Diceros bicornis minor: one gene and its partners. The protein of the gene in region 1 interacts with the protein of each later gene in a pairwise test. Links are inferred from orthologs where the notes say so. Each region holds a gene or a part of one and is shown in the gene's direction. Other genes may lie near its edges.

The links.
Region 2: the proteins of RABAC1 (region 1) and PLEKHF2 interact in binary tests that used the Homo sapiens proteins (3 or more experiments, as listed by UniProt). The two-hybrid records come from large-scale screens. The link is inferred for Diceros bicornis minor from reciprocal best matches to the Homo sapiens genes RABAC1 and PLEKHF2.
Region 3: the proteins of RABAC1 (region 1) and SYT16 interact in binary tests that used the Homo sapiens proteins (3 or more experiments, as listed by UniProt). The link is inferred for Diceros bicornis minor from reciprocal best matches to the Homo sapiens genes RABAC1 and SYT16.

Annotation. Positions count from the first base shown.
Region 1 is NC_080773.1:17,247,390-17,254,268, forward strand, and holds RABAC1 (prenylated Rab acceptor protein 1), read left to right. Parts: upstream 1-3,865; 5' UTR 3,866-3,955; coding exon 3,956-4,011; intron 4,012-4,308; coding exon 4,309-4,521; intron 4,522-4,821; coding exon 4,822-4,919; intron 4,920-6,103; coding exon 6,104-6,205; intron 6,206-6,279; coding exon 6,280-6,368; 3' UTR 6,369-6,532; downstream 6,533-6,879. UniProt on the Homo sapiens protein: General Rab protein regulator required for vesicle formation from the Golgi complex. May control vesicle docking and fusion by mediating the action of Rab GTPases to the SNARE complexes.
Region 2 is NC_080760.1:14,328,490-14,335,989, forward strand, and holds the start of PLEKHF2 (pleckstrin homology domain-containing family F member 2), read left to right. Parts: upstream 1-4,488; 5' UTR 4,489-4,706; intron 4,707-5,476; exon of another isoform or gene 5,477-5,621; intron 5,622-5,740; exon of another isoform or gene 5,741-5,996; intron 5,997-6,462; exon of another isoform or gene 6,463-6,635; intron 6,636-7,500. UniProt on the Homo sapiens protein: May play a role in early endosome fusion upstream of RAB5, hence regulating receptor trafficking and fluid-phase transport. Enhances cellular sensitivity to TNF-induced apoptosis.
Region 3 is NC_080763.1:11,414,508-11,421,413, forward strand, and holds the start of SYT16 (synaptotagmin-16), read left to right. Parts: upstream 1-3,894; 5' UTR 3,895-3,964; coding exon 3,965-4,493; intron 4,494-6,906. UniProt on the Homo sapiens protein: May be involved in the trafficking and exocytosis of secretory vesicles in non-neuronal tissues. Is Ca(2+)-independent.

The DNA of each region.
Region 1 (6,879 bases):
CCCCTGGCTGATGCCATCTCTGGTTCTGGACAATTATCAAATATATCAGTGGGGAGAGAGAGGCGGTGTGTCGTGTTTGCTTTCTGAAGCGGGGGTGTGGGCAGGATGGCGTCCCCTGTGCTGGCACACACGGCCGGGTGATTCACACGATCCCAGGAATGTCGCCTGGCACGGGCTTGGCAGTCACAGAATCTCGGAGTCATCGAATCTTGGAATTTTAGACTCACGAAAGTTAGAGTGGAAGCAGCTTGAATTCGCCAGGTGATGGGATTATGGGATCAGAACAGGGGAGAGGGAGGGAGTCAGATCCTCTCACGTTGGAGTAGGACCCCAGGGAGACAATGACAGTGACCATGATGATGATGGTGAGTCACTGAGCGCCCAGTCTGTGCTCTGCTCTCTCTTGAACACTCTATGTGTATTAGCTCTTTTAATCGTTACAAGATGGGAGGCACAGAGAGGGAAAGTGACTTGCTCAAGGTCACACAGCTGAAAGGTGACAAATCCGGGATTTGAACCTAGGCTGTCCAAGCTCTAAGTCACTGTGTTATTCTCTCTTTCTATTGAGAAAAACTTTCATACAGTGAAGTGCACAAGTCTTAAGGGCACAGCTCAATGACTTTAAAAATTACATCCATGTAATCAGCACCCAGATCAAAGTAAAGAACATGTCCATCCATCCAGAAAGTTCCCTCCTGTCCCTTTCCAGTCAGCACCACCCCCCTCAGAGGGAACCACTGATATGATTTCTGTCACCATCCTTTAGTTGTGCCTGTTCTTGGACTTCACATAAATGAAATCTTACAGCATTTTGTCTCATGTGTCTGGCTTCTTGTCCTCAACATCACGTCTGTGATAGTCATTCATGTTACTGCATATATCAGTAACCCATTCTTTTTCATTGCTGCGTAGTATTCCATTGTGTGACTATAGCACAATTTGTTCATTCATTTTCCTGTTGGTGGACATTTAGGTTGTTTCCACTTTGGGGGCCATGACAATTGGTGCTGCTAGGAATAAGAACATTCTAGTAATGTCTTCTGATGATACGTGTATGCATCTCTGTTGGGTACATGCCTAGAAGTGGCATTGCTGGTCAGGGGATGGACTATGTTTAGCTTTAATAGAAACAGCCAGACTCTTTCCAAAGCTCTTGTGTCATTCTGCATTCCTACAGTGTATGAAAATTCCATTTGCTCCATATCCTCGCCAACACTTGGTATTATCAGTCTTTTGAATTTTAGCCATTCGGGTTGGGCAGCTATACCACTTCCCTTGAGGCAGCCTTTCTAACACAGCCCAGAGAAGTGAGTCAGAGGAAGGCCTGGGGCTGGACCTGGCCTGCCTACCTCCCTGCACAGATGTCTGGGATGCTGAGAGCTTGTGTGTGAATGAGTGTGTGCATATGCCCATTGCATTAGGGAGGAGCACCCAAACCTGAGGGGGGAAGGCTGTCAGAAGGCAGGAGCCACGTGCACCAGATATGCTCTTGATGCCCAGGACAGAGCCTGGTCCTAGTAGGGGTTTCATGAGCCTGGACCTCTCCTAGGGAGGCCACAGAAACTACTTTATCAGGTGCAGGGAAAGAAATACCATAGAGGTGGGCAAACTGAGGCCCAGAAACGGCAGAGACTTCCTTGAGGTCACATAGCAGGAATATAACCCAGGTTTCTGATTGTCTATGCTAAGGTCTTCCCACCCTTCCAGCTCCACTTCTCTGGGGATCCTCAAGCTGGAGGGACCACAGGGCCAGAGCTCATCTCCCACAGTCTTCTCAGGTGTCCCCTGCCACCATCCCCCCGTCTCAGGGATCCTCCTATCTCTCACAATATCTCTGCCTGAGGGTCCCCTCTCCCATAATCCCTGTTTCAAGGGGCTCCTCTCCCACAATGCCCTGTGCCAAGGCCCCACCTCCCAAAATCCCCTGAGTCAAAGTTCCCCCCATGTCCTTCTCAGAGGGACCCTCCCCACAATGTCCTTACCTCTGGACCCCACTGCCCACAACTCATGCTGTTCGACACCTCCAGCCCTTTGCCCATTATGTCCTCTGCTCGGAACAAGTCCTGGTAGGTTATGGAGTGAAACTGCTTTGATTGAGTTCCTATAAGGAAACCCAATGGCTCTCATAGCAAAAGTCAAACCCCCAATTTCCAAGGTTGGCCATGGAGGAGGCAAATGGACTTCTGCCTCCAACTCTCTGCTCCCCAAGATTTGTCTTCCTCTTGGGGCCTCTTCTGGTTCCCTCTGCTGCCCCCATCACTCTGAACTCAGTTAATGCTGCTCCCCCATTAACGCTCTGAGCTAACTGCACTCACCACCCTCCTTTGATTTCATGATGCCAGGCGAGACCCAAGAGGGAAACGTGAACAAGATTCTACTAAAAGGCTGACTCTGACAAAGGGGAAATAAAGAGTAACTCGCCAATCTGATCTTCAAAGTGTGGCTCATTCAGCTTCAGCTTGGGACCCCCACAGGGGGCCTCCCCGCCTATTGCTCCACCAGCCCCTTTGGCAGGGCCGTCTTCCCCACCTCCAGCAGGCCTCAAAGCCCAAACCCAAAAGGGATGTTGGGAGAGTTGGGGTTGAGTCATTTGGATATCCCATGTGGATATTCTCCTTCAGCCCCACTCAGCCTTGGAAAATTAGGACCTCAGTCCACGTAAGGGAGCCCAGGCTTCCCGACACTTCCACCCACATTCTTGGGGCCCTGTTCTGGTGCACTCCTTAAGAACTCCAGCTGTTTTCCCACAACTAACTCAGGGGCAGGGGCAAAGACTGAGAGAGAACTACAGCTGTGGGAAGTGGGGAAAAGAAAGCCCTAGGCCTGTGATGCCAGCCACTCTTTGGGACATCCAAGGGGCCAGCAGCTCCTAATATGTTACTGTTAAATTTGAGAAGCCTGAACTCTAGAAATAATCATAACATTCATGATTATGTAGTGGCAATAACATTGACTACCATTTATTGAGCAGTTATAAAGCATCAAGACTCTTTTAAACACTTTACATGGACCATTTAACTGAATCATCAACCTCATGAGTGTGGTACCATCAGGATCCATCCCCACTGTCCCGATGAAGATACTGAGGTTCAAGGAGGTGATGAGATCATCAGCCTGGATTTTCACCTGACTCCAGAGTCCCAGCTCTTTTAATTATAACAACTCTCTTCAAAAAATTCTCAATCCTTTCCGTTTCCCAACTTCCCTCCTTCCCATTCAAACGGGGGAGTCCCTAGGTCTTTAGTCCTAACCCATTCATCCTTGGCAGCCCAAGGGTTGTGCGGGCAGCTTTGCTCCCCACCTCAGATACCCGCTCCAGCAACCATGGCCCTCTCACAAGCCTCTGTCTCTTGAGGAAGAAAGGAAGGAACAGATTCTCGCGAATTCTCTACAGTCTCCCTTCTCAAAATGTGGTCCAGAGGTCAGCAGCTTCAGTATCACCTAGGAACTTGTTACAAATGCAGATTAATGGGCCCCACCCCAGACCTGCTGAATCAGAACATCTGTTTTATCAAACCTTCCAGCTGTTTTTATGCACTTTAGAGTCAGAACGACAGCTCTACACGGTTCCCATTGTATCCTGCACGGGAGAGAGTACACAACGTCTACTTCCGCCTTCAGAGTTCCCATAATGCCTCGATTCTGGACAATCCACCGTCCCCCTACTCCACATACGCCGCTTCTGCAACTACAATTCCCACAATGCCCAGAGGCGCTCACCGGCGCTTTATGCGACAGCATCTCCGAAGGTGTTTTGTGAGCCATCATGGCGCCCACCCTGCCGGACAGCATCAGGACTACAATTCCCACAATGCTCAACGCAGAACTACCGCCCCAAGCGGCTCCCGAGCGGCGCCACGTCGGCTCAGCTGGGTGAGGCCGGGCTCGGGCGGGGCCGGCAGGGTCCGCAGGGCCCGGGGCTCGTTACAGCGGTTCTACCCCTCACCACGCAGACATGGCGGCCGAGAGGGACCAGCAGAAGGATGCCGAGGCGGAAGGGCTGAGCGCCGCGTGAGCAAGCCGGCTGTAGCCCCCTGTAGCCCCCCTGACCGACACTCGGGAGTTCTGGCCCCCGCCCCCTCCTCCCTCGGGCCCCAGGAATCCCGGCCCCCAGACACAGGAGTCCAGGCCCCTGGTCTACTCTTCGGGGACTCTGAAGTCTGGGCCCTCAGCCCCCTTTTGCCCTAGGGTTTAGGAGTCTTAGACCCTTCGCCCGCAGGACCCCAGAGCCCGCCCCCCGCAGCCCCCATCTTGCTCATGAGTCCGGGCTCCCTCCCGGTCCGCCGCTGACCCGGTTCCGCCCACCAGGACCCTGCTGCCGAAACTGATCCCGTCCGGCGTAGGCCGTGAGTGGCTGGAGCGGCGCCGCGCGACCATCCGGCCCTGGGGCTCCTTCGTGGACCAGCGGCGCTTCTCGCGGCCCCGCAACCTGGGCGAGCTGTGCCAGCGCCTCGTGCGCAACGTGGAGTACTACCAGAGCAACTACGTCTTCGTGTTCCTGGGCCTCATCGTATACTGCGTGTGAGTGCCTCTCCGCCCCGCCCTCGCCCTCGCCCTCGCCCCCCGCCCGCCAGGCCCGCCCCACCGAGAGCTCTGGCCGCACTGCTCGGCCCCGCCCCCCGGACGGCTCCGCCAGACCTTTTCACCGAAGGGCCAGGTCCCTACTTCCCCATCAGCCTGGCTGGGACGCACTGTGACCTAACATGACCTAGACTTGCCTGGCCTCAAGGACATAGCCTGTCATCCGCTGGTGTAGACAATCGGGTTCCCTGGCTGGCCCAGCCCCAGCTGCCTGACCGATGCCTCCCTGCCCTTCTCCAGGGTGACGTCCCCTATGCTGCTGGTGGCTCTGGCCGTCTTCTTTGGCGCCTGTTACATCCTCTATCTGCGCACGTTGCAGTCCAAGTTTGTGCTTTTTGGTGAGAGCTCCCTTGCCCAGATGGATCCCTGACGCCTCAAATCCTGGTCTCTTGGAAGGAAAGCCTTAAACCCCAAACCTGTCTGCCCAAGCCTAGATCTACACTAGGTCCCCCAAACCCGATCCCTTAAAATCTCAGACACACCAGGTGCTCCCACCCAGTTTCAGCCCCCCAAATTGCTGTTCCCCAGACCCAGAATGAGATGCCCCAAAACTCACTCTGCACCTATCTCCTGTCCCTTAAAGCTAGCTTCCCCTCTCTCTCCTCCGTCACTTGTGGAAGGCATCAGCTGCAGGTACCCACGTTGGACACCAGGTGGTGATCTTACACTGGCCTAGATCTGTCCCCTGCCTCTGTCCTGCTTCTGGGATGAGACCAGAAAGATCTTGGGACTTCGCAGAGAGGGAAGCTGAGGCTTTTGGCTCTTGTGGTCCCAGACTAGCACCAAGCACCATTGGGAAGAAAGGCCTGAGTCCCCACGCAGGGGAAGCTCAAGGTTTAGAGTAAGGACAGGGAAGAGCTAGGATCAGACAAACAGGGAGACTTGAGACCGAGTTCTTCAGGGGCCTGCAAGTCATGCACATGACAAAGGTGGGCTGGGTGGAGGGACATGTGGGACAAGCACAGGGCATGGAAGGAGCGCCTGGAAAGCACAGCTGTGACTTGGCTTCAGCCACTGCTGCTGCTGGGGTGTGCAGACCTGTCTTCCAGTCTGCCACGAGAAGCCAGAAATCTGTATTGTTATGTGAAGTCATTCAGTTTCTCTGTCAGCCACAAATCAGATTCTTGTGGAACATTGTGCAGACTCAAAAAATACATCCACAGGTCAGACTTGGCCCTTGGGCCACCAGTTTGAGATTCCTGGTCTACCTGAGTGCAGGTTGGAGCAGGAGAGCTCTCATCTGGGGGAGTGGGAGGCTGGGAGCTTCCTAGCAGAAGTGGGGTTGCAGGGCAGAGGGCAGGGGGCTCAGGGAGGTGTGCTCTATGCTGGCAGACAGTGGGGACATTGGAGACGTGGGTGGGGCCAGGACTTCCTTGGCATAAGGAATTTGGATTAGATCCAAATTCTAATCCAGGATTAGCTCCTGGAGCTCGTGACACCAGCCTGTTTGGGGGGCATCAGGGGTGACTGGGAGAGGGCCCGAGTGCCGGAACAGCATGCCCCTATGCCGTCTGCCCCTCAGGCCGAGAGGTGAGCCCAGCCCATCAGTACGCTCTGGCAGGGGCCGTCTCCTTCCCCTTCTTCTGGCTGGCTGGCGCGGGCTCTGCCGTCTTCTGGGTCCTGGGTGAGTACAGGGTCTGGGTGGGCGGTGGGAGCCAGGTGAGAGAGCATGTCCCTAAACTGCCCACTTTCCTGCAGGAGCCACCCTCGTGGTCATTGGCTCCCATGCCGCCTTCCACCTGACGGAGGCCGTAGACGGGGAAGAGCTGCAGATGGAGCCTGTGTGAGGTGTCTTCGAGGATCTGCCAGCCTTCCAAGCCAGCCGCCCCATCCCTGTCCAGCCCTGTCCCGCGCGGCTCTTTTGCTCCGGCCAAAGGCCCCCTTCTCGTCACAAGCCCAGGGAGGGACTCCGGCTTTGGAAATAAAACCGTTACAGTTGTCATTCAGCAAATATTCTCCCAGGGTCCTCTGTGGGTGTGTGCGGAGTGATGCTGGGGATACTGCAGAGACTAAAAGAGAGGGGGCCTGGGTGGAGGAGGGGGGAGACAGTAAGCAAGATAAATAACTAAAATATCATAGGATGGCCGATGGTGATAAGTACCCCGGAGAAGAAAAGGTGTGTTGGGGGGTCCCTGAGACCACCCCCGTGTTCGATGATTTGCTGAGAGGACTCGGCTCAGTATACAGTTGTGCTCACAGCTGTCATTTATTAGCCTGAAAGGTTAGGAAGCAAAATCTGCCAAGAGAAGAGGCACGTTGGGAAGTCCAGAGGACCCAGGGGAGCTCCCCAGAGTCCTC
Region 2 (7,500 bases), on another chromosome or scaffold:
TGTTGAGGAATAAGGCATTTGTTGTATAATTTCCCTCTACTGGCAGGGAAGGTAATGTGCAAATAATTTAGGAATTTTTTATAGAAGAAAGCAGCCATTGTGTCTTTTAGGGTATGAGTACTTGAATATGACTTATACCACTTCATTGAAAAACTTACCCATGACTATGCCTTGTGTGTTTTTTAAAAAAATGAAACAATACATACTTATTATAGAAGTTTAGTAAAATATAGAGAAGAAAAAGAATCATGCACAATACTACCAAAGATAAAAAATTAATATGGTTGTATATTTTATATGTCTTTTTTGTACAAAAGTTTACATATTTTACATGTAATTCACTAATCTAGCTGGAATTTATTTCGTGTACAAATTGATCTAGACTTACGTTTCTAAGACAGAGATGAGCATGAAACTAGTTCCTTAGTTTCTGATATGACAAATAAATGATATCCCTGTTAGAAATATGTAAACTTAGTTTGGAATGAGGCAAATTCCTGATCAATTTATATCCATTGTTGGGAAAATTCATAGGATTTTTGATACATACTAGGTTTATATGTTAAAACTCCCAAGGTCAAGATCAATCTCTGCCAAGAAAATTTGATTTGTTAAAATATGGATAAGCTTCTCTGTTTAAATTTAAACCTCATTTTTTGATTCTAAGGTAAGATAGCTTGACAGATGGTTAAATGAGCAGTAGTTTGAGTAATATGATTTACAATAAATCTTTCAAGAAATGAATTTAAGTGCCTGCCAAAAATCTTCTTGAATAACTCCCCAAGCTTAAATTCCAACTTCTCCAAGAGACATGTGCAATAATTTTTTTTTGAACAGATGTTATTTTTAAGAGCAGTGTGTGTCAGGTTCAGAGCAAAATCGAGTGGAAAGTACAGAGTTCCCATATATCCGCTCCCCACACGTGCACAGCCTCCCCAACTATCAACATCCACACCAGAGTGGTACATTTGTTACAACTTGTGCACCTACATTGACAGGTCAATATTACCCAAAGTCCATATTTGCACTAGGGTTCACTTGTGGTGGTGTACATTCTATAGCTTTTGACAAATGTATAATGACATGTATCCACCATTACAGTGTCACACAGAATAGTTTCACTGTCCTAAAAACTCTCTGCGCTCTGCCTGTTTATCCCTCCCTCCCAGCTAACACTGATCTTGTTACTGTCTCGCAATATTTTCAAGGGAACCTTCTATGTCATTTAATTGGGAAAATTTTCTAAATGATCTTCTAAGAGCTGACTATAAGGCTCTCTGATAAGACAGCATAGAACTATATTTCCACGAGTCCTGGGGCCTTCCTGCTTCAAAGCAAAAATTACTGCAATTTGGGGATATAGTTATAATCTGGGTTATTCTCCTTACATAGTGAATTTTTATAAGGAGTAAAATATCTGTTCCCACTTCATGCAGCCAGGATCTGCAGCAAATGTGATTGTGCCAAACTGGTCTGTAGGACACAGTGGCCAGCAAGCCACATGTGTCCTATATTTAAATGTTTAGAAAGACACCCTGTGTGTTGTAGGTTATTTTCCCATAGCCGGGGAGCATCTTGGCTGCAAGAAGAGTAAATTCACTTTTTGTTCACTGGGGAATTAGAAAAAAGCATAAAAGTATTATTTTTTAATCATATAGCTATCAGTCTGGGCCTATTCTGAGACTGGATATTTAAGACAACTATCCCAGTTTGTCTTGCTTTATTCAGTATAGTTTATTTAGTGCTTTTTTTTGGGGGGGGGGGGAGATCAGCCCTGAGCTAACATCTGCCAATCCTCCTCTTTTTTTCCTGAGGAAGACTGGCCCTGGGCTAACATCCATGCCCATCTTCCTCCACTTTATATGGGATGCTGCCATATAAAGTGCGTCGGTGCGCGCCTGGGATCTGAATCAGGGAACCCGGGGCTGCCGCAGCGGAGCACGCAGGCTTAACTGCTTGCGCCACCGGGCCGGCCCCTTTAGTGCTTTATTATATATATTTTTTAACTTTTTTCTTGGGGGGGAAATAATTTCAAACTTACAGTTTGCAAGATAGAAATAGTACCAAGAGCATCCATATACTCTGCTCAGATTGACCTAACATTTTACTCCATTTTAAAAATCATTTATATAGGTGGTTTCTCTCTTTTATATATAATATTTAAATTATATGTTATATATTTAAATTTTTTCTGAATCATTTGAGGGTAAATAGTTCAGTGTGTATATCCTAAGAATAGAAATGTTCTCTTATATAACTAGAACAGAAAATTTAACTGTGATACAATTTTATTTAATATTCTGTTCATATTCCACTTTTGTCAATTGACCCAAAAATGTCCTTTATAACATTCTCCCCTTCTAGTATAGGAACCAGTCTAGGGTCAGGTATTGTAATTAGTTGTCATTATCTCTTTTGCCTCTTTATTCTGGAACATTTCCATGGCCTTTTTTTTTTTTTAGAATATAGCCCCCATCCTCCCTTTTAAAAACAGGATATTAGTTTTTTTGGGTTTGTCTAATATTTTCCCAGAAGTCTAGGGAAACAGCCCCCAATGATCTGAGCTGCCTGTTTGAAGATATACTGGAGAATAATGGTTTCCCCTTTTCTTCTGCCTTTCAGATCTAACACGTGTCTCCCTTGGCAGAATTTAACCTGGAACCATTTAAGGAAAAGTCCTCTGGAAAATAGAGTTCTAGGCTTTCTCCCCGCAGCGCAGAGGAGAATGTAGAAAGGGGTGGCAATAAGGCTAAGTCGACCACTGACAAGGTGGCACACACTCCTGTCCTGTGAGGACCTGGGGATAGAAAGGCAAGAAGACAGGGAGCTCCTGCCCTCATGGAGCCTGCCGTCTCCAGGGAGATCTATAAGTACTGTGAGGGAAGCGCACACCCGCACTGTCTCAGGGCACAGAGGCCTGAAAGACGACAAGGGGCCACAGCTATGCAAAGGGCAGGATAGGGTGGGCTTGTGATTGTCTCGGTAGAGAAGCAGCCAGGGCAGTGGGCCCCATAGCAGAAAAGAGCTGGGTGTATTTGAAAAGTGACACAAGGTCAACGTGACTGGACTTGGGTGGAGCTTGGTATCTTTTTAAGGTGGAGAGGATGGCAGACGCTGGGTTGTGCTGGGTCTCATAGGACCTAGTGACCAGCTGGCATTTTGTTGTAAGTGAAACAGAAATGTTCCTACTCCATATGGCACCTTTGGGCAAATTAGAAAAAGGCATCCATTCCTCAAGGCGTTTCCATCTTGTTGGAAAACGGTTGTAAAATACTTTTATTAGAACAAGGCACTTTACTGAAATCTGCCAGAGAATATTTGTAATAAGTATAAAATTTTCAGTGCTCCAATGTGAAAGGACTCTTCCATAGCGTTGTTCTACTATAACTTGTACAATTGTAATTGGCAGCCCCAGTGGGGAGCCATGGAAGGGTTTCTGCAGGCGAGTGACACAATCCTATGTGGTCCCGAGTGGAGGGGAAAAGAGAGGAGGAGGCGTGTTTTAGAGGCAGATTCTACAATATGTTTGAGGAAAAGGGATAGGATGAAGGCGACGGAAGAGAGGATGGGATGGTGATGACTCGGTAGGTTTGCAGATTTCCACCTACATGTTTTGTTTGAGGTTAGTATGCCGTCCCCCCCGCCCCCCCCCATTCCTTGTCTATCCTAGGCATCTTTGGTATCTTCTCCACGTACCCAACAGCACGCTTAGCAAACAGCTGCTGTGGTATAAACGAAAAGGGCAGATTTAACCTTACATACTATCTTGCATTTTTCAGGTATGTGAAGTAGGTAGATGAGGTTTTGTGTCGCCAGAGATAAGTTTTGGAAAGACCAGAGTTCTAAGGCACAGAATAAAGCCAGTCGCTTAAAAGAAAGGGCTGCTAAGAAGAGTACCTGGGGGTATGCAGGTGTATTGCCACCGCAGCTCCCTCGGTTTCAAGAGGCAGGGGTTTTAGAGAAAGCAAATGGAAGATGTGACGGGCAGGATCGCCAAGGTAAGTGGAAACAGGAAACAAATATCTGCCTAGACGCCTTTGGGCATCTAAATCCAAAGCCTTTCCTTCCCGGCTGCGGAAAGTTCTTGAGTGCCGTGGAGATGCCCGTTCGGTGAGGAGGCAAAGGGGGCCTAGCCTTCCTTCAATTCGTCCAGTCTCCTACAAGAACTACGTAGAGAGATGAACAATCTTTTCCAAGAGCTCGCCGCAGCCAGGCGGGCCAGGTAAGGAGTCTCACCTGCACCCAAAGGGCGCCGGGGCACGCGGTCCCACACTGCGCGGAGGAACCAACCGCAGGCGCCAGCTGCCCAGGTGGGTGTGGCCTCCGCGGTGGCCCCGCCCCCTCGGGCGCGTCGCGCGGGGCGGCACGGGCGGGGCGAGGGAACAGGCAAGAAAGGCGGGGAGCGGGCGGTGTGGGTGTGCTCGTGCCCGCGCGCTGGCGTGTGGGCGGCGGCGCGCCCGTGCGCGCGCAGGGGAGCGGCCAGCGCCGGCGGCCGTTGTGGGGTTCGACTGGAGGGGCGGGGGAGTCACCTGCGAGCGGCTGCGCCGGCCGGCCGCCCGTCCGTCCTTCGCGTCTGGATCTGGCCGGCTGCGCGCGGTCGCGGCCGCGCACACCCTGGGAGGCCGGGGCGGGGAGCCGGCAGAGTCCGCGCCCGGCGCCTGGGACGAGGAGCAGTCGGACTTTCGCCGCCGCCCGCGCCTGGCCGGGTAGGTGAAGCCCGGGTTGGTTGTCCGCCGGCCCCTGGCGGGCCGGGAGAGGAGAAGCGAAACTTTCCGGGCGCTTCCCCTCGCGGTCCCTGGCCGTCGGCGGCGCGGGGAGGTGTCGTCGTCGCGGGCGGCGGCGGCGGACGCCATGTTGGGGTCTGTGAGAAACGGGGCGCTCCCGGGCCGCTCCCCTCGCGCTGGGGTCGGCCGGCGCCCGCCCGCAGGACGCGGCTGCCGCCGCCGGCAGGCTGCGGGGCCGCCCGGGGGTCCGCGCTCCGCGGGGCGGGGCCGGGCGGACGCGGGAAGGGGGCCCCGAGGTCGGGCGAGAAGTTGCGGGGCGTGAGGAGTAGGGATCCAGTCGTGGCCGGTGGCGTCTTAGGGCCCCAGCATCTCTCTGTCCAGAAAGTTTGCGAAGTCTGGGCGTCAGAGACGTTGTAACTCGAATAGCATATATTTATGTGACTTGGGGCAAAAAATGGCACCGTAGAATTTGCTCGGATAGGCGATGGCTCTTACACATTATTCATTTTGGAGTCTTTTGAAGTTTCATGGTCTTTTGCCGAATTTATTTTTCCTTTTTAAAATCTTTTTGAAGGCCGAGAGCTTGCTGCTCCCGTGGCCTGAAGACCCTGTGTGCTTGTGCACCACAGCAGTCGCTTGTGTGCGCGAGGGAAGGGGGTAGGGTTACGGGGACGGAGAACTGAGCCTTTCTCTGTGATTCACGGACTCGCCAAGTGTGGAAGTTTTTAAATGCCTTCTTTGTTGTGTTTTAGTACGTTACTGAAGAGACTCATTAAAGAAAGATTTAGACACGAACGTTGACTGAGGGACTTAAAGGTGTGTGTTGTTTTCTTAACAATAAGGTGAAGTGATCTTGACATTGCGAAATTTTTTTCCGCTCCCTTCGGATCCTTGAAGGTGCGTGCCTACCATGTTTTGAGCATTTACCTTTTTCTGTACTCTGGTAGCTCATGGGATCCTCAGGTTGATTCACAATTAACGAAGGCTTCTATTTTTATCTGTTCGGGTCCTGACAGCGCTGGAGAGGTGAAGAGTATTAAGTTACTTATTTGGAAAGCACATAGAATCGCCTCAAAAAGTAAAACTGATATACTGACCAAGGCATCGAAAAAGGTTCAACTTGAGTTACCCCAGTAAATGAATGTATATTACTATTTTTAAGTAAAGACATCTTCGCTTTAAAATTCTGTTAAATGAACTGAAAGGACTCTTAACCACAAATAAGGTCAACTCTAAAACATGTTTTGGAGAATTTCTCTTCTTAATCTACAGGTAAAAATATAGGTTTTGCTCAGATTTGATTGCTAATTTCCTTAAATTCTTAAAAAAAAATTCTTTTTGCTTCATTGTCAAGTAAATGCCATTATATATGTTTGTTTTTCTGGGTGAAGAGTTCTCTAGAAATGAGGTGACAGCTAACTTCACAAATCTAGCAGGCAAGCTGGTATTTAGCTGAGCTCTTATGACTCGGAAGCCTTCTCATTTTTCTTATAGCTAACTGTGTAGGATACATAACTCATTCCTGTGGAGCAGTCTCTGTCCACCTTGTTTGCTTTGTCTTTGCTGCTCTTTCCATCTTTAATTTTGTTCCTCAGTCTACTTATCTCCTAGAGAGCTGATTTACAAGGGTTCTTGTACTGAAATTTTTCCCCTTAAAAATACTCACTTAAGCTAACTGTACTCTTTGAAAAGCCTTTTCTGCCCTGTTCTCCTTATCCCACCCCCTTTGTCTCCCCAGGAATTGGTTCGCTTCTCCCATGGCATCTCCATACATATTACGTTGACCTGCCGTGGCACCCCCTTGACAGCAGACGTTGCATGGGGTCTGATTTGCCTCTCCCTCCCCAGTGTGCAGAGAACATAGCAGATGCTCAGGAAAGGTTTGAATGGATGAGTACACATATGCTCCTTGTAAATATACTTATTGAATTTCTTACTAAAAATTGCAGTTTCGATGGGCATAGTACTTAAATCTTCTCGAATCCTTTTTTTTTTAATTTTACATTGGTAACTCAATAAGTTTTGGCCTGGGGATACAGAACTTGCATGTTTATGAAATTTACAAGTAGATAATGGACTGAAGTATAATCAACAAAGCAGCAGCAGCCCTGGTTCAACAAAAGGATAATCATAATTTTAAAGTGCAATTGAATTTATTTTCACTGGAGGGAGATAGAGTTAATGCCTGAAAATTTTGAAGGTCGTGTTTATACATTTAAGCTCTTTGATAGAGCAAATCTCATTTCTTTATCAATTATTGTTTTGTCAGAATTCTCTTAGAATTTTGTTTTAGAATGCCTCGCTTAATGGAAAGCATATAGAAATTGCTTTTCTATTGATAAGTTTATCTTTGAGAACCAGCTTTGTACACAAGCTGCATGTTTCATAGCAATGTGCATGTTGGCGTAACCAAATAAAATATACTTCATAGATATGCTTTCAGAGGGCTGTTTTAAGTTGCAAGACCTCTCTAGGTGAAGGTGTTCTGTAATTCTGTAACAAAATTATTGTAGAATTTAGGGTTAATTCCCTGCCCAAGATGACTTTCTCTTCAGTCAATCTATAAACCACAGACTGGTGTGCGCAATTTGGGAGGTCCTGAGAAGAGAAGGCATTCAAGAAGTTGCTATGAGTGCTCGAGAAAGCAAGTTGCATGTAGGGTGGACTGGAACAAAAAAAAGCAATTCTGAATCCTAGTTCTGCTCCTTATTAGCTTGTGACTCTTGAACAAGTTTCTTCACTTCTGTAAGCTTCACTGGACTCATTTGTGAAATGG
Region 3 (6,906 bases), on another chromosome or scaffold:
TACCAGGCAGGCTAAGGAGACAAGGCATCCCTGGCAGAGCAAATAGAAGTCAGGAAAGAGCACAGTCACTCTGGAAAAGGCTTAGTGTGTTAGCATGACGGGCACATAGGACTTTCTAGTGAGGAGTGGTGAGGAATGGCTGAGTCCCCACTGTGGGGACAGCACATATGCAAGCTGAATCTTCAGTCAGGACCAAAGATAGGGCTCTGTGAGTTGTGAAAATATTGAAATAGTTCTAAGCTGGTTGATAAATAGACAGTGGCCCCTCCCACTGTCCTATTGCACCCCCAGATCTCCTCACACCAGTGATTCAGCAATTAAAGAGTTGACATCTAGCAGGAGGCCCTTAGCACCCCTCTAGCACTAAGGCCAGTTAGATGGGTGCTGATTGTTAAATGTGTTGAGCATCTCTCTTCTTGTATGCCATGGTAAAGAACATGAAATTTATCCTATAGGGTAAGGGTTTGAAAATTCAGATGCCTCCAGGGATCAGGCAGGCTACACAGAAATGCGTGAAGCAAGTGGGTATAAACAACAGGGAGAGGTGAGGACTGTAGTCAACTGAGGCATTAAAATTAATTTTTTAAAAACTCTGCATCAACAAATATAAATGAATGTTTGCCAGTGCTCAAATTTTGCAGTATAAGAAATAGGAAGCCATGATGGTTTTTTTGTTTTTTTTTTTTAAACTAGGAGAGTGATGTAAGATTTACTTTTTAGAAAATTTGCCGTGAGGGTTTGATGAACCGAGATTACAGAAGACGTGGAGACCATGAGACTGAGAGCATAGTCAGTTACTAAAGCTCAAAGATTGGACAAGAAAATGCTGGCTTAAATTCAAAGATTTTGGGTTGCGTGTGAAAACAAAATTTTCTCTGTATAATAAAACAATAGAAAGGATTATTGAATTATTAAGGAAGATACACCATTTCTGTTTTAAAAAGTTTCAAGTACCTAGGGGCTGGCCCGGTGGCACAAGCAGTTAAGTGCGCATGCTCCGCTGCAGCCCGGGGTTCGCAGGTTCGGATCCCGGGCGCGCCACGACGCACCGCTTGTCAAGCCATGCTGTGGCGGTGTCCCATATAAAGTGGAGGAAGATGGGCATGGATGTTGGCCCAGGGCCAGTCTTCCTCAGCAAAAAGAGGAGGATGGGCATGGATGTTAGCTCAGGGATGGTCTTCCTCACAAAAAAAAAAAAAAAAAAGTTTTAAGTACCTAAAGGACAGTAGTAGATGCTAAACCCAGTGATTTGTCAGGGAACTTTCTAGGTCTGTGGTGCCCTGAAGCATATTAACCTAAGCAAAATATTTGTGGAGAAAAAAACAAACAAAAACCTGTGAGTGGTGAAATGGAGTGGAACAAATGTGGAAAGAACTCTTTAATGTTACCAAGCAGGGGCTTTGTGTAGTGACATTAAGAGCTTTTCAACAATTCTGAGTAGGTTTTATCCACCAACTTAACAAATTTGAGTACATACTATATGCTGGACACTGATGTAAGCACTATTTTAAATGGCATTTGTTAATTCATTTGTTGAGAATTTAACATGTGCTCAGCACACTTCTAGGCACTGGGGATAAACTAGAGAACAAAACACACAATCTCTGCCCTCCATGGAAATTTCTTTCTAGGGGAGGAGACGGCAGTAAACCTGGTTCAAGTTCAGGTTATGGTGAGCAAACCCAGAGGATGGATTGAGGTGGGGAAGACTAGAGACTGAAACTGACCACGTGTGGAATATCTGAGGAAATTAGAGTGTGAGGAAGGATGATCACTTGACAAAACATAATGGAAGAAAGAATTCATAGACCCCAAACTAGCAGAACTTGGAACGGAAGGAGTGGAAGGGGGGAGTATTTTTTTTTTTTCTGAAATGTTTTTTTTTTTTCCTCAAAGCCCCAGTAGATAGTTGTATGTCATAGCTGCACATCCTTCTAGTTGCTGTATGTGGGACGCGTTCTCAGCATGGCCGGAGAAGCGGTGGGTCGGTGCGCGCCGGGGATCGGAACCCGGGCCGCCAGCAGCGGAGTGCATGCGCTTAACCACTAAGCCACGGGGCTGGCCCAAGGGGGAAGTGTTGAAGAGAGAAATACACAGCCCCTAGAATGTTGTGAGTCCAGTACTGAACACCTGTTGTAGCAAATGGGATGTGCTAGGTTTTGATGAGCTGAATCTGAGATTTTGGTGAGATGCCCGTGTGTATTACTTCCTTAGATCAGCATTTCTCAAACTTTGGTGAGTGTTAGAATCACCCCGGGAACTTGACAAAAATACAAAGGTCCAGGGCCTATTCCTTCAACCTGCCTGGGCCTCTGTGTTCTTTATTAGCTCATCAGGGGATCCTGACACAGCCGAGTTTGAGAACCACTGGCTTAATAATGAGAGATGCAAGCCTGGAAAGAGGGATTGAGCTAAGGGCTGGAGATGTATATTTTGGAATTAAAAAAAAAAGTGTTAATTGAGACTTATAGATGGATCAGCTCTCCCAGCTGATGAGCATAAAGGGGGAGGAGGAGAAACCACAGGACAATGAGTGGTTGCATATATGTAGTTTGTGGGAAGACAAGGAAGAGCCTGAAAGACAGACACATGAATTATTCAGGATAAGGTGAAAGTGCAGAGAGCTCAGTTTCCCTTTAACTGGAATGTGGGCTCCATGGGGACAGAGACCTCAGGGTTATCTTACACCTGGCATTTTGCCCAGCACTTAATCAATATTTGTTTCTTGAATGAATCAATGCATGCATGAATGGCTGTCACAAAACCTAGAGAGAGATTTTTAGGAGAACGTAGGCAGTCATATCAAATGCAGAAGCCTGAGGTCAAGTGGGCTGAACCGTAAGGGACTGCTGGTAGATTTGGTCAGAAGGAAGCTATTGCTATAAAAGAGATGGAGTAAAGTACAGGTAGTGAATTTAGGCTCTGCTGTCATTTATAACATTCATCCTGAGCTGTTGATGAGCAATGTAAAGGCAGTAAGATACATACACACACACATAATACACATACGTATGCCTACGTATACATAGTATATGTTTGTATGCATATATATATATGTAAAAGTATAGATATTGAGTTCCAAAGTCTTCATCATGCCCTGTTGCTTGGTTGATGGCCTGTAGCTGCCTCCTTCAGGTTTGAATCTTGTGGGAAGAAGTTCTCTCAGGAGTCTCACAAGTTGTCGGGGGGCTGACTTTGGCAGGTTGGAACATAGACAAAGGAAACAACGTGCTAGGGACATGTCTCCAGGAAGCTGCATAATCCACTTGCCACCCTCAGTTTTTCACTGGTTGTTTGCTTCCCAAGAATAGATATAATTTCTAGAAATTGCATAAAGATATAAGAGCCTATTTTAAGATTTGTTAAAAGCTTTTGAATTCCAGGAGCCCATTTCCTTTGAAAGGATAAATCTGCGTGTCATGAAGCAGAGATGCTTATTAGCCTGCTCTCTGGGATCTGCAGGTTCGTAGATGAAGCATCCAACCTTTCTTGTATTTGAAATGTCATGTCCAAGTGCCTCTTAATGAAGATTCATTTATCCTTTTCACACTATTAAGTATGGTCTATGGGGGATAGACTTCTCTCAGTCCATGTGAATAGAGCCCATTACTGCTAATGGAAATTTTGCACATGCCTGTGGAATTGAATAGGCATTGAAATACATTTAGACTTTCACAGTCATTTTTATTTAGTTGCCTTAAGATTTCAATGATGATCTCTTTTTGTCTCCAAATCCTGTTTGGCATTGATTGTAGGTATCTGGTGATGAGTCTGAAGTTGTAACTTTAACAGGTATAAGTATTTCTTTCCTCTGTTTCAGCTGAGAAGTTTTGAGAGTGAAATATTGACAGCCATTAAGAGACCTCCAATTTAATTTCTCATCCTGCTTATTCTGTAGTTCACGTTAAGTCCAGAGTGCTGAAGGAACTGAACAAGTGGACTTGTAGACATCAAATAGCTGGCCATGGTGTTGGCCATGGCGTCTCAGGAAGTTCAGAACTTCTTCCAGCCTCTCTCTTCCTGGATATCTCGGGTTTATGAAGCTCTCCAGCAAGCAGGAGATACACTATCTGCTTCGCTGGTTAACTTGAGCAAACAAGACTCTAAATTGAGTGACAAGCTAGACCAGGACTTAGATGATATTCAGATTCAGGAAACTTACTTTGAAGATGAAGAACAAGGCAATGATTGGAGTCAAGAAGATGCAAATTCTTTGTTTCTTGAAGTGGATCATTTTTCCTGTTGTAATAGTGATTTGCAGGACTCTCCCCAAAGTGCAAGCCCCAGACTTAGCCGACACGCAAATACAAAGGACTCATGTTCCATAATGTCCCAGTGGCCCAATCAGACCCTTGATGACCAAAAGCCACCACATGTGCTTCCTTCTATTGCTGAGGAAGAACATCACCTTGAAAAGCAAAGGAGTGGCCTTCAACACAGCTTTGACAGCCAGCTCTCTGGTGTTTTAGAAAATGTTAATGGACAAAAGCAAGGTAAGCTAGCCAATGATCATTTTCTCTGGGTTCTCCCAAAGGACATTTCTACTCATTTTACTTTGACTTGTCTTAGTTATCATATGAATTTTATTTTTCTCTTCCTTATACTTTCTATACATACTGACTTCTTATTGAGAGATGTAATCCTTAGAAATATTTTCAATATATAAAACTTTGGAAGATCTGTTTGTGAGCTCCATAATCCAACGCAATAGTTCTGAGCAAATGAAATGGTGAAAATGAGTCTGTGAGTTGTGTTGAGAAGCCCCTCTGCATATGTTGTGCTTTTTAAAACATCTTTAAAAATATTCTCCTTTTTTTTACTAGGTTAGGAATCTCTAGATGTTACTATATTATTCAGTGTGAAATCCTGTGCAAAAAGCCGTACTTGTTGCAAAATTTTTAGTTGATAACACTCCAAGAACACTTCTCACAGTGTGTCGCCGAGATGTGATGTGAAATGACAGTAGATAGGAAATCTTTGGAATAAGAATAGCTTGATTTTCTTTTAGCTTTGAATGGAAAGGACACGTTTAAAACAAACTGCCTATGGAGCTTTATCCTGTCAGAGCTGAGCATTTAATGGACCTTCAATAAATGTATAATGAATATGGTGAAAATATGATTAACTCTGTAAAAGGAGCTATAGTATGTTCTGGCATGAATTTCTCATGCTTTAATACTGTAAGCCTGACATAAGGACGTTTCTCATGGTCGAGGGAGAGAGGTACATGATATGCAAAGAGAGCTGTTGGTATGTATATGTGATGTGTTGTAACGCATACATAGGTCACACAGATTATTGGGTCTTTTACGTGATGTAAAGGTGAAGTCATTAATTCTCTTCTTGTTGGAGGGAGCAGACTTTTCTGGAATACCTCATAGTCTCTTCATCCATTTTCCATGATTCCTCTTAGCTTTATATTTTTAGGGAAATGTTTTATCCAGTTACATGAAGTCTTGGTAAATGAGGATACATAATTTCATATTGTTTTCATAATGCTTTCTTGATACTCTTACTCAAAGTAATAGTGAAATGCTAGAATAAATCGGTGAAGACAAGATAGGCTGATATTCTTTCTGAAGCTGATAAACTATAAATAAATGAAATTTTAAGTCTTTTAAAATTATCTGTAGAGATAATTCTAGAAATATCTAGGTTACCAATAGGATTTCTTAGATTTGACTTGAAATTTCTATTTTAGAAAATTCTTGCTAAAGTTAACTTTATTTAAAATTATTAACATGATTTTGGCCTAATAGTTTCTTAACACTGGCTTTTGTTAATTTTTGTAATTGTAATAATCTAATGGCAGTAAAACAATTGTTTTTATTTGTCCATTCAGGAGATGTTTGTTCACTAGATTGCAGCCTCCTGGAAGGCAGGGGCCGTGCCACAGACTCATTTCTGCATCCTTAACTGTATCAAGCACAATGTTGTGTATATAATAGGATATCAAATAATGATTAATGATGGAACACCAACAAGGAAAGCTAACAACTCTAAGAAGTAAATACTATTATTATTCTCACTTCACAGTTGAGAAAATTGATGCTTAGAGAGTTTGAGAATATCCCCAAGATCCACATTTAGAAAAAGGCAGAGCTCAGGCAGTCTGATTCTAGAATTTATACATATTCTCTCTCTCTTTTTTCCTTTTTAAAGATATAACTTACATACAGTAAAATCTATCCTTCTTAGTGCACAGTGAGTTTTGACAAACACACACAGTCTTGTAACCACCACCGCCATCAAGATATAAAACAGTCCATCACCTCAAAAATTCCATCAAGTCCCTTTGCAGTCAGTCCTTTCCCCTACCTCCAGCTCCTGGCAGTTGCTGATATAGTTTCTGTCTTGATCGCTTTGTCTTTTCCAGAATGTCATATAAATGGAATCATGCAGGCTTCTGAGTCTGGCTTCTTTCATGATGGGCTTATCATAATGTGTTTGAGGTTCATCCATGTTGTTGTGTGTTTCAGTAGTTTGACCTTTTTATTGCTGAATAGTAGTCCATTGCATGAATGCACCATAGTTTGTTGATTATTCATCAACTAAGGGATATTTGGATTGTTTCTAGTTTTTAACAATATGAATAAAACTGTTATAAACATTTGCAAAACAGGTTTTTGTGTGAATATGTTTTCATTTCAATTAGGTAAATACCTAGGAGTGGAATTGCTGGATCATGTGGAAAGTATGTGTTTAACTTTATCAAAAATATTCCACTGTTTTCCAAAGTACCATTTTGCATTTCCAAAAGTAATGTATGAGATTTCTAGTCATTCATATTCTCACCAGCACTTGGTGGTGTTGTTCATATTAAGAAAATTGTTTTAGCCGTTCTCATGTGTAGCGATAGCTCACGTTGGGAGATAATTCTCCATTGGTCTCGGTTTTTTGCATGTC